Linked DNA regions of Bombyx mori. The protein of the gene in region 1 binds, or shares a complex with, the protein of each later gene. Links are inferred from orthologs where the notes say so. Each region holds a gene or a part of one and is shown in the gene's direction. Other genes may lie near its edges. The genes, in order: protein virilizer, RNA-binding protein spenito and N6-adenosine-methyltransferase non-catalytic subunit.

Region 1 (4,346 bases):
CCCACCGAGAAGATCCGGCGAGAAACTCAGTGGGCTGTGTCTATGGGTTAATTCGCTCGTCGAGCCCTTCGTTGCAAGCGACGGGTTCGATGAGGACGGTGACGAGTGCTTGTGGTACCTAAAAGCACTGTTAATGGATCGGGAGGATCCGTAATGACAACTATATTAATAATCGAGCAAACTTGTGGCAGACAAGTACAGTGAAGTGGTACAGCGGTTCCGTAGACATTTAATCTTGTGTTTATGTCGTATGCCAAGGGTGTGTCCCGACATACAAGATTGGCTACACATTATGTAAGCGTGCATCTATCTAGTGGATATCTAATGTTGAATGTGAATGTTACAGATCTATGTTACATCTAGGTGCCTTCAAACTGGACTACAGCTTGTAGTATTGGTTAAAGGAGTTAAGGATAATATTTCGGTCGTTCGTGTGCACAGCTCTGCTCTAACTTTGCCAATCTCATACATAACAGGTATGTATATTGAGGATAAGCTTTGAACAAATCCAAATACCTACACGCTAAAACAAAAAAAATCATTCCACATAGTGGTACGTGAGCCACTGAAATAAAAATACCCAAACTTCAACAGACAAAGTGGCGAAGACAAAGGCCTTTCTGAGATCCTCTATTAATGAAAAGTACCTAGGACATAGAAACATTTAGGTTTTGATTTGAGGCAAGTATGCACACATGTAAAGATATTTAAACATCGTTAAAGAATACAAAAAACTCAATATGAAACCTGATGAAATCCATATAAAGATTAAAAAGTTATTTGTCAAAAATTACCCGCTTTTTCTTTTTTAATTTGTCATAAATATATAAGATTGATGTCATGATAAGAAATGAAACTTTTATTTTTCAACGAGCATTAGTTACAAAAATAATCGTAACACGATTTTATTTGTCTATATATCTTTATATCTTTTCAGATAATACATAATTTTAATAAAAAAGAACCTTTGACAGAATTTGACGGTGTTAACTAATAATAACCCATTGATGTAATAAAGGTCTATGACCGAACCACCTTATACATCTATATCATGAGAGAAAATAACCGATTTTAATTTATTTGGATAGATACTTACAATTCGACCAATGAAAACCGAAAATGACCGAAAATGACCACCATTTTACTGAGATAATATTTCATCCCAAATCATCTCATCTTATTTCTTTTAATTTCATCCCAGTTGATTAATATCTCAAATTAATCATCATCATTTCACTCCATATTATCATTTTTCATAAAAATATCCCGTAACATACCATGTCATCTCATTTCATTTCATTTCATTTCATGCCATTTTCATATTTATTTATTTATTTTAATTATTATTAATCAACTTCATTTTATTTCATAATATAATATTTCATAAATATATATATATATTATAAAAGATTAGGCTGTATGGTATGGTACCTTTGCCTTTCCATTTGGAAAAATAAAACTACTGTACTGATACTGTAGATTGTAGATTATAGAATCTATGCTTCTAATTCTAAAATATTAGTAAATTCATGTGAATACAAATTACTAATATTAAATGAAACAATACAATGACGAACTCTGAGAAACCCGATCTATTATTCTTTGATACGTTCTCACACGACACAAGCGAGGTAAACAGTATATTTATCAATCAAATCGACTTAATGTTTTGCTTGTTTTTCAAAACCATTCTTCGCTTTGTTATTACAGGAATTGAATCTGGATTTAGTACAGTTTCCAAAGTCTGTCTATGTAAGAGAAATACGTGTTATTCCATTGGGTGCCCGAGTTGAAGGAGACTTTCCCGGTCGAGTTCGGTTAGGCGCCACAAACCCTACGAAGTTTCATATCGACTTTTTCGTGAATGATCTGAGTAAGCCTGGAGCTTCCACTTTCGAAGCTTTGGGTAGTTTGGACTACTGTCAAAATGGACAGATTCATATGGAGTGTGGAGCTGATGGGGACCATCCTAGAATCCCTACTGATGGCCTTGTATTAAGAGGTCAGTAATTATAACCTGTTTCAAGATGTTCATTTGGACTGAATTCTTCTTGACTGACGAAACAATGTGTTCATATAATTATGTAGATAAAAGTAAGTAAACATAAAGGTAAGAAAACAGGCAGTTTTATTTTCCTTATGGTTTGATACCTGGCACCAGAAATGTAATAATATATGATTAGTGATTTTCATTATATTACCATAGATGAGCAAAGTGAGCTTATTTGGTTGAAAGGGTTTTTGTTCAAATGGATTTAAATTCTCAATTGTGTAGCAATATGCATTTTTGGTTTCATGTCCAGTTGCACAATACTTAATTGAAATTTCCAAAACGATATATACAGGGTCTATCTTAAATAAATGATAGCCTATTATTCAGGGGTAGCTCTGATGTCGAGCTGTAAGAAGAATTACTTTTTATGTTTAATTTAAGCCTATTTTCATATTGGGTTTTTAATGAAGTCATGATAAACCATTTGTTGCACCTACTACCTAGTTTGCAAAATTATTTACAAGAGAGAAATAATACACATTTCTTGAAAAATCAAAACTTACTTCTTTAACTAATTTTGCTTAAAAAGCACACACTTATCATCAACAGCCCACAGCTGCCCACTGATGGACAAACACCTCTCCTAATCTACATCACCGAGCCCAGTGTTTGTTTTTTTCCCATCTATCTTTAATTGGCCATCCTTTGAAGTTAATCTCACCACCTAGCTGTGGAGTGCCTCACATTACATTTGCTATTGCAAGCCATCCACTCAAGAACCCTTCTACTCCAGCAATCATCAGTATGTCATATATGTCCAGTTCACTGCTACTGCAGCTTACTGACTCTCTAAGTTATGTAGTTGATTTAATTCTCTGTTGAATAATGAGGTAATTCAACTGATTTTGTCGTTCAGAGAACAAACATAGCTCTTTCCATGGCTCGCTGTGCACCTTGAACTGATGGATTATGGCACTGTGAGTATTCACAGTTCGAGTCCGTGAGTCATAACCAGTTAAATTCACTGGTTGATCTTTTGTTTTCAGGCACTGTGTAATGTGCAATGAAAAATGTTCATGAAGTTTGATGTAGACTTTTTTATTACACCATCAATGCCTAATTGTGATTTTATTCAAAAACAATACAAAAATATGCTTAAATTCATAATTTCAACCCCTTCAATAGTAGTTTAATGAAGTAATACACATATTCAGGAGGAAATATAAAAAAAAATCATTTTGACATCTCTGACAGATCTAAATAAATTAAAAGTGTAAAAAAACTAAATAGAAGTGTAAATTAAAGTAAAAACTAGACTGTCCTATGAATATTATTATTGTAATTAAAATGGGAATGTGAAAAAACCCCTTACAGTTACATATCTAGACATGGCTATGCACTTTGTGGGTGCCACTTAGGGTAATCCTTACAAGTGAACATTGACTCTTAATATTGTTACATGCTGGGGCTCAAGATAAATAAAACTTCCACCAAAGTACAAATTAAAACTCTATTTAACACTTAGAACACTACAATTCGTGATATACTTCTTCTGCTTCGCTTCAGGTGATCCATTAGCTGTTTCGCTATGAGTAGATCCGATTACTAACTGCCTTCATGTCATCTCTGCAATGCTTTTATACTTGACACAAACACTCTACAATTATCGAGAACATTCTTGATAGGGCGAGTAGTTTCAATAAGGGTTTCCACTATTCGAGCATTCTAGATATTGCTAGTTCTTTTGATATTCGTTTCTGCTAGTCAATGTCAGATGGTTTTACTCTAACCGTAACAATATCAATTTGAAAATAATCTGTTTTCCTCTTAAGTTTCTGATGGAAATGACATTCAAACAACTTTTGTTATTCTTTTCAATTTCATAAGCTGGTGATGAATTAACCTACAGTTGAAGTAATACCCTTGCCTATTTTTATATTTTATATTATTTATAACATTGTCAATTTCTACCTTTTACACTCATTAACACAATGTTACATAATTTCAGGATGTTACACTACCATCACTCTTGCTGTTTACGGGACGCTCACACAGATTTTACCAGAAACACCAGTTGGTATCAATCCCCCTCCCACTATTCAAAGACCCGCAGTCAACCGAGATGCGCCACCAGCAAATGTGACACAACCACCTGACTGGAATCCAGAGCCAACCAATCCAATACCATCATACACTGGTAATGTCGCCAGCACCAACCCCGATGTCTATACTCCTAATACGTATCCAGAAAATTATGAAAATCCAATTTATCGAAATGAATATTATGAAAACGAGCCTCCGAAAGATCCTAGGACTTATCATGTGGAAGGTGATTGGGAAAAGAGTAGAGATA
Region 2 (4,191 bases), on another chromosome or scaffold:
ATATACATCAACAACTACCATAAAATTGCTCATAAAGTTGGAATTTGTCCCTAATCGCCCCATTTTACGGTACTACACTGGTAGCATTTTTTTAAAGTGATTTTATGATCTGGTAACTAAGACTTTTTGGTCATGTCTTTTTTTAATTTTAATGACAGCTTTTTTAATGAAAAATGATATTATGAAATGAAATGAAGTTGATTATTATTATACATGGCATGAAATGAAAACGAAATGAAATGAAATGAGATAAGATGATATGGAATGAAGTATAATCTCAGTAAAATAGGGGTCATTTGCTGAGACTTTTTCAGTGAACTTTTTGGAAGATCCCGAGAAGTTACGTTCAGTGGCTTTGTTTCATTTTCCCATTTGTGCACTTTCACAGATACTAAATAGTTAATAAACCACGTTATTACACATTCAAACCTAAGAAACACTATTAAATAAAACAAAGCACACAACTTCACTTCTCGCGTTCCCGCCAAAAAGTCCAGATCATAGGTAGCTTTACTTCTCTTGGGATACAGATCAGTAATTTTCTCTATTAAGTATTCAGTTTAGCAGTCCATATTACAACAATTAGTTAATTAAATCATAGCAATTTCGACAGTAGCATGGATGTGACTTGTTATGTGGGGGTTGTCCAAAGAATTGGATGGTCTAGACCATGCTGATGACTAATGTTTTTTTAATCATGAAGTTGTCTGCATGCAATCCAAACTGGACGATATATAGTTGGAAGCGCCAAAGTTGGTTTTAAGATCAACTCGATGAAGACCCAAAAAACACTTATCGGACAAAATCCGCTACCCGTAAAGCTGGTTACAGAACCGAAACAGCGTACCTATCGTACATAATACAACTCAGAAGAAACGGCAAAATAATTTGGGGAAATATGTACAAGAAATTCAGAAATCACATTTGGCAACCCTCAGCCAAACTGCCATTTTGTGAGATTCCCATGTAATGGTCGATATTCTTGATGCTTATCAGCGCTTCTAATTTCAAATTTACATTAAATAAAGTTGAAGTGAACGTGATTATTTTAAAATAATTGTCTACTTAATAATACGAATTAGTTCGTCCAAGATTGAGGTTTTCAGTGATCTGCTGAGTGATTAGTGTTTGTAATTCGTTTGGGGTAAGAATAGTGCATCAGTGGGTTACTTTATTGTATCGACCAAAACTAATTTACAGTGACGTGTAATATTGTGATGTGTATTTCAGATAGTAGTTCGTCGAAGTGAGCTTTCATGATTGGATTACCGCGTAGCGATAGAGATAGAGATCGAATTACGGTGAAAATTCGCAATATGAAGCGAAGTTCGTCGCGTGATAGTATGCCGCGATCAAAACGGACACGCAGCAGTATTGGTAGGTATGACGATAGCTCTGACGAGCGTGGAAGCCCGGAACGAGTACGACGTCGAGTACGCTCCCCTAGCCCGCGCGGTCGATATGTGTCACCTCATCGCGATGATTACGTGCGTTCTCGTGATGCTCGAGATGAATCTGTCCGCAGCTACTACAAAGTACTATGTGTTAGTGCTTTACACCCTAAAGCGTCGGATGAGATTGTCAAGGATACTTTGTATAGAGAATATAAGAAGTATGGTGACTTTAGTATAAAAATATCCCATGAGTTGGATGAGAGAGTAGCCTACATCTGCTTCCGAAGTGCAGAGGATGCGAGAGACGCTAAACATGCCAAGCCTAGGATAATACTGTATGATAAAGTTGCTATTGTTGATCCTGTTTATGAACCTGTACGTTCTGAGTACAGACCGAGGCCTCGTAGTATAACTCCTCCTGACTATGATCGCCCTTATTCATACGCTTGGTCTCCTGTACCAGAGAGACGTCGTCCCCCTCCTGATGAGAGAGCCTATGGTATCCCTCCTACAGTGCCACCTCACCATAGAGATTTCCGCCCTCCTATGCATGAGTATCCCATGGCAGGTCCTCATGGGCCTCCAATGCATCACAGACCACCTATGCATCACCCTCCACATCCCCATTATATGCCACGTCCATACATGCCCCGGCCTCACCATCCTCCATTTGAGAAAATTGAGAACAAAAAAGATAAATTTCCAAATTACCTACACCATGTTCAACCTGAAGATGATCCATTAGCTACAAGAACTCTTTTCGCTGGTAATTTAGAAATAAACATTTCTGATGAAGAGTTACGCCGAATTTTTGGACGCTATGGTATAGTAGAGGACATTGACATTAAAAGACCTCCTCCAGGTACTGGAAATGCTTTTGCATTTGTTCGTTATCAAACTTTGGACATGGCACACAGAGCCAAAGTTGAATTATCAGGCCAATACATTGGCAAATTTCAATGTAAAATAGGTTATGGCAAAGCTACACCCACAACACGTGTCTGGGTGGGTGGCCTGGGACCATGGACTTCAGTAGCACAGTTAGAGAGAGAATTTGATAGGTTTGGTGCCATTAAAAAGATTGAATATGTGAAGGGTGAACCTCATGCCTATATTTTATATGACTCTATTGATGCAGCCCAAGCTGCTGTCAAAGAAATGCGGGGCTTTCCTTTAGGGGGACCGGAGCGACGTTTGCGTATTGATTTCGCAGACGTTGGAACAGGTGGACCCTATAGACCTAAACCTTACAGTGCACCTGTTGGTGAAGATGGTAGGCCTGTTGAAGGATATGAGGGATATGAAGGTAGTTCTTGGGAGGATGGTTATAGCTATGGTACTTATAGGGGTAGAGGTGGGCATCGTGGCCGTGGACGTGGCTCCTACAGAGGTGTCTATCATGGTACAGGAGATTATCGTGACGAAGAATGGAGACGTGCTCCATTAGATTCAGAATATGAGAGTCGCTTGCGTCGTTCTGGATCAAGGGAGCCTGGAGTCGATAGGTCACGCTCACGATCTCGTCGTAGATCACCTGATAGTGACTCTGATGGATCAATGCGTAGAAGTAGTGGGATGCTATCTTCGTCACGAACAATGGCAGAATTAGTTCGTAAAGCAACTACAATTTGGCATGGAGCACTGATTCTCAAAAATTCATTGTTTCCTACTAAGTTGCATTTAACAGACGGTGACTCTGAAATTATTGATAGTCTCATGAAAGATGAAGATGGTAGAAAACAGCTCAGAATCACACAAAGATTACGTTTGGATCAACCTAAGTTAGATGATGTTCAAAAACGTATTGCCACATCTAGCTCTCATGCCATTTTTGTGGGTGTGTCTGGTTCTACTGCTGTAGTCACCAATGAAGATGTTTCGATACAAACACGACCAATGAGGAATTTGGTATCATATCTTAAACAAAAAGAAGCAGCAGGTGTGATATCACTTTTGAACAAAGAGACTGAAGCTACTGGAGTTCTTTATTCTTTCCCTCCATGTGAATTTTCAACTGACCTTCTCAAAAGAACGTGTCACAATTTAACTGAAGAGAGTTTTAAGGAAGATCACCTAGTTATAGTAGTAGTACGAGGTGGCACTGCTTAATTATTCAAACACTGCTTTAGTATATTGTATTGTTATTTGTAGGTATATACTCTTAATTTAAGTTTTTTGTTCTACACTTTTTACTTTATATTCTTGTGATGTGTGTGATGTGAGGTGCATAAGATGTGCAAGTTTAAATATTTGTGCAGTGCTGTGTTCTCACAGTGATCAGAATTAACTTTGATGAAAATGTACAGTATAGAAGCTAGTTCAGCTAGATATCCGACTAAAAGAAGTTTATCTTACTTTTTTAAAGTTAAGTGTATAATATTCAGTGTATGATTTAGGTGATGTGTAGTGTGTGAACAAAACAAATAGATTATTTTAATTTTGAAAGTTGTTTTTTTAAACCTTGTGATTAAGTGACATATCCAGTGCAGTTGATCCATTAGTGGTTTTGTGATGTTAAGGTGTTCCAAAAAAAAAAGTATTGTGAATTTATGTTTTGGTATGTCCATTAATTTGCAAAAAAATGATTATAAAAGGATGTACAGTGGAACAACAAGTCAGTGGTGTGTTGTGGTTTTAACAGTAAAATTACCAAATTTAGAGTCAATTGAAGACAAATTTTCTACAATTTACAAATATGGTGATATAAATGTTGACTCAGTATTGTTTGTGATTTGACGTGTTTCATATTATAATATAAAACTGAAACTGGGTAAGTCTGTAGATATATTTCACACAA
Region 3 (4,146 bases), on another chromosome or scaffold:
TCCATGTCAAAAAGTCCTGGGATCCTTTTATCTGCACAATGACAACCGAAGTACAACAAACAGCCTGAAGGTCTGGCAACTATTAGCTCGTTCTGTATAAAATGGAACGTGAATATCTAGAAAATATATATAGAAAAATAGACGTTAGTTATCACAATTTTCTAAGTAAATGTCGAAGAATAAAGTATTAATAACTATGACGAATAACACTTTAGTCGTCTGTGACTACGAATAATGAAAAGTATTCGAATCGGTTGAAATAATATAATGACAATAAAACGCGAGATTAAGCCGTAATAGTAGTTTTTAATAAGTCTACTTAATGCAAAACCGAGAGAAATGTTAAATTAGTTTTTTATAAGTCTATTTTTCTAAAAAAAATAACTATAACCTAAAAAATATATTTTTTATTTAACTTTCTAACTTAACTCTTCGCGATCCAGCTCTTGTCTCATCGAGTTTTATTTAACTTTCCATTTCATTTCTTTATGGAGGATAGAGGTAAGGAGAGCCGTCTCTGTGTGAAAAAGTGTCCATTAAAATCTGCTAAATAAGGGTAGCGCTACAGTAGCATCCGGGTAAATTTAAAAAAAGGCGCTAAAAGCTATAAGAATAAGATAGAGAAATAAAAAGGGACGAAAGAACTCTAAGCCTTACAAAATCACAAAAAGTATTTTATTTAAAGCTGATAAGAAAATACAATCTTTTTTTTTTTCGATGTCTGCACGTTTTACTATAGTAAAAACTTTAGGATATATTGACGAAATTAGTTTGGACTACGTAAACATGTGAGGTCTTGTATATTACACTGTCACTAACTACTCTAGTCATTATATATATTAAACCTAACTCAGCATATCTCAATCAGTTAACAACTGCTCAATTCATATCATACCCTGTGCCTATGCTAGCGCCATTCTGGAGGATTTTTGAACTATTACTTAGTGCTGAAAGTGAGACACCCACTTCTCCCATATGAGACGGTTCTCCTTACCTCTATCCTCTATACCAAGCCTGGGCAAATGGCGGCCCGCGGGCCAAATCCGGCCCGCTCTAGAATTTTGTCTGGCCCGTGAAGCATTGTATATATTATTATTAAAAACACAAATATTAGTTTTTGTCTAACATAAATTGGTGCTGTAGCAAACCGACCGGTACGTTACTCTCGCGGCCGTATGCCCGCTCGCTATACATAGTTAGTATCTATGTCCATCTTTTCAACAGTGTATAATCTATGTTCCGGGCGCTTCCGTTTTGAGTGTGAATAGCGTGCGCCCGCGTCTAAATGTAATTATTGTTTAAAAATTGAAAATTGTTTGTTATAAAGGAAGATTAAAATTCGAAATTCGATATTGGTGACTAACCCATAGTTTTAAATACCCCTGAGATCTACCCCTCACTATAGTGCATTTTTTTTTTATAATATATTAAGCAATACTTTTCAACACATTAACAGGGCCGGTGGGAGCCAAAATTTTCTCCCGGACAACGGCTCTTTTCAGCGACTCCTATTCGAAAAAATTATTAAAATAATAGAACAATTAAAGTATGTATAATAGTCGCACAATAAAATTAGAAAAAAAAGCTGTTTGGCTCGAGGTCAAATTTTCATCTGCAATGTGGCCCGACTATCAAAATATTTACCCATCCCTGCTCTTTAAATTTCTTGTAGCATTTGACGTTTCATACAAACCAAATGAACTTGGCTTTTGGTTACAAAAATATTGGTTTTATCCTTATGGACTATGATCCCTTTACCTGTTCGGTGGATAATTAATAAGCAAAAACAATCATGTTTTGATTGTCGTTTTGTTTATTTTATTATTAATTATTTTACGATTTATTTTAATGAAAGATGAGTGAGAAATTAAGAGAACTACGCGAGAGATCTCAAAAACGAAAAAAGCTTCTAGCACAGACAGTAAGTAAGCATCAATTTAATTTAGTTTTAAATACATAAAAAAGGTTTTAGTCCATGACAACTGTTATTTCTTCAGTTAGGTGTCTCGAGTGTGAGCGAATTAAGACATGCGCTGGGTTCAGCTCTAGACGTACCTGTTAAAAAACAAGCTGTGTCTGGAAGCGGAGGTGAAGGAGATAAACCCACCAGTAAGGACCAACCGGATGAACTTGTATACACCGACTCCTCTACATTTTTGAAGGTTTGTTACTTTTTTTGTAATTAAAGATGTCGAAGCAGTTAACAGAAATTCTAGAGTATTTTAAAGGTTAAGACCTTGTATCTATCGGCAAATTAAATATCTTTCCTAATGACTAACCTCAATCTACCCATGCAAAAAACTGTAAACTAATTGATCAAAGTGCTCTGATAATTTTCATAAGTGGGTTTATATTCATTTATTATTTATCTTGATTTGTGTATAGTGTACTTGGCTGTATTAAATGTATCTACCACTTAAATCATTCACACATTAGTAAGGGGTTATGATTTTATGATATACACATTGAAGATTGACTTATTGTGAACAAATTAATTTTTATACAAATGTTGGTCACTCTACACTGTGAATTTAACAATGATAAGTGTGTTATTGTGATATATTATTGAAAAGAGCCAAGGGACACTACAATTTCATACTAAAATTGATTTCAGGGCACGCAGTCATCAAATCCTCACAATGACTATTGTCAGCACTTTGTTGACACAGGTCAGAGGCCACAAAACTATATCAGAGATGTTGGGCTCGCTGACAGGTTTGAGGAATATCCGAAATTACGTGAACTCATTAAACTGAAAGACGATTTAATTGCGGAAACTGCAACACCACCTATGTATTTGAAATGTGATCTCAAGGTAAATAAATAAAGTATTATCTGATGACTCTCTCTGGCTAGGTGCTGTGATGACCTCCAAACGCTGGCCGGCAAGAAGTGGGATGAGAAGAGCCGTAGACCAGGCTCAGTGGTGTGGATTGGGAGAGGCCTATGTCCAGCAGTGTACGACTATGGGCTGTTGATGATGATGATGATGATGAATTAATGATAATTAAATATTGGCTTTCTGATTTGCTTCATTTTTGGTATAAAAAAAATAAAATCCAGAAGAACTAAAGTAAATAAGTTAGATTTTGCAAAAGCCTTTGCACAAAACATAACTTTGCTGGGTCTTATGGGCTTAATTCTAACAAGGTTAACCCATTTTGTAACATCCTCTTTACAATACTATCCAATGTCATACCTGACAGGCATGATAACCAACCCCACCTAATAGCATCGAGGGATAAATGCAAAATCTAATTAGTTCAGGCAATTACCTGAATGTTAATACAATAAGAGAGGGTAGTCAATAGTCAATATTGTGACTCTTGTGAGTCTGCACGGGTAGGTACCATCACCCCGCCCATTTCTGCCGCGAAGCAGTACATAATCCATTTCAGTTTGAAGGGCGGAGCAGCCTATATTGTATTGTAACTATACTGAGACCTTAGAACTTATATCTCAAAGTGGGTGGTGCATTTACGTTGTAGATGTCTATGGGCTCCAGTAACCACTTAAAATCCGGTGGGCTGTGCGCTTGTCCACCCATCTAAGCAATAAAAAAAAATCAAATGTCAGCAAATAATATCTTAGTTATTCTTGACCACAAAAACTGTAAAGTAGTATAAATCGTCCCAAATATTATAATGACAATAAAAACCGTAAGATTAAACCGTAATAATACTTTTAAATATATTATACTTTATTCCCTTCCAATATTTAAGAACAAAATTATAAAAAGTTGTTGTTAAATCTCAGCCTCGGCCTTGGTCTGAGTACTCGGGTATTACTGTCCTTGTTGTCTTTCTGTTTTTAATTTTTTATTATTATTTATAGTATGTTAAATCTCTATTAATATGTTAATGTAATGCATGCTGTGATTACCTATAATTAGAGTTGCAGTTATCAATTGCTCTAAACATGTCAATGTTATTTTATGTCTTACTGTAAACCCTGTAGGTAATCCTTAAATAAATAAATTAATAAATAAACATTTCTACCACACGCAAAAACCAGGGAAAATAGTGCAGTCGCCCAAATTGTAGATATTGAATTTTGACCACTTTGATCGTAATCATCACAGTTTGATCCATGCTGTTGAATTAACAGCCATACTATCATAACCAGAAATGTTATCATTACCACCAT

What was found.
Region 2: protein virilizer (region 1) and RNA-binding protein spenito share a complex: the UniProt entries of both Drosophila melanogaster proteins name them as parts of the WMM complex. The link is inferred for Bombyx mori from reciprocal best matches to the Drosophila melanogaster genes vir and nito.
Region 3: protein virilizer (region 1) and N6-adenosine-methyltransferase non-catalytic subunit share a complex: the UniProt entries of both Drosophila melanogaster proteins name them as parts of the WMM complex. The link is inferred for Bombyx mori from reciprocal best matches to the Drosophila melanogaster genes vir and Mettl14.

The regions. Positions count from the first base shown.
Region 1 is NC_085117.1:6,048,847-6,053,192, forward strand, and holds the start of protein virilizer, read left to right. Parts: upstream 1-1,466; 5' UTR 1,467-1,568; coding exon 1,569-1,631; intron 1,632-1,710; coding exon 1,711-2,002; intron 2,003-4,001; coding exon 4,002-4,346. UniProt on the Drosophila melanogaster protein: Associated component of the WMM complex, a complex that mediates N6-methyladenosine (m6A) methylation of mRNAs, a modification that plays a role in the efficiency of mRNA splicing and is required for sex determination.
Region 2 is NC_085125.1:10,174,515-10,178,705, forward strand, and holds the start of RNA-binding protein spenito, read left to right. Parts: upstream 1-1,256; coding exon 1,257-3,503; 3' UTR 3,504-4,191. UniProt on the Drosophila melanogaster protein: RNA-binding protein that acts as an associated component of the WMM complex, a complex that mediates N6-methyladenosine (m6A) methylation of mRNAs. M6a modification plays a role in the efficiency of mRNA splicing and is required for sex determination.
Region 3 is NC_085109.1:13,109,389-13,113,534, reverse strand, and holds the start of N6-adenosine-methyltransferase non-catalytic subunit, read left to right. Parts: upstream 1-1,235; 5' UTR 1,236-1,287; exon of another isoform or gene 1,288-1,355; intron 1,356-1,855; coding exon 1,856-1,921; intron 1,922-1,997; coding exon 1,998-2,162; intron 2,163-2,614; coding exon 2,615-2,815; intron 2,816-4,146. UniProt on the Drosophila melanogaster protein: Non-catalytic component of the WMM complex, a complex that mediates N6-methyladenosine (m6A) methylation of mRNAs, a modification that plays a role in the efficiency of mRNA splicing and is required for sex determination.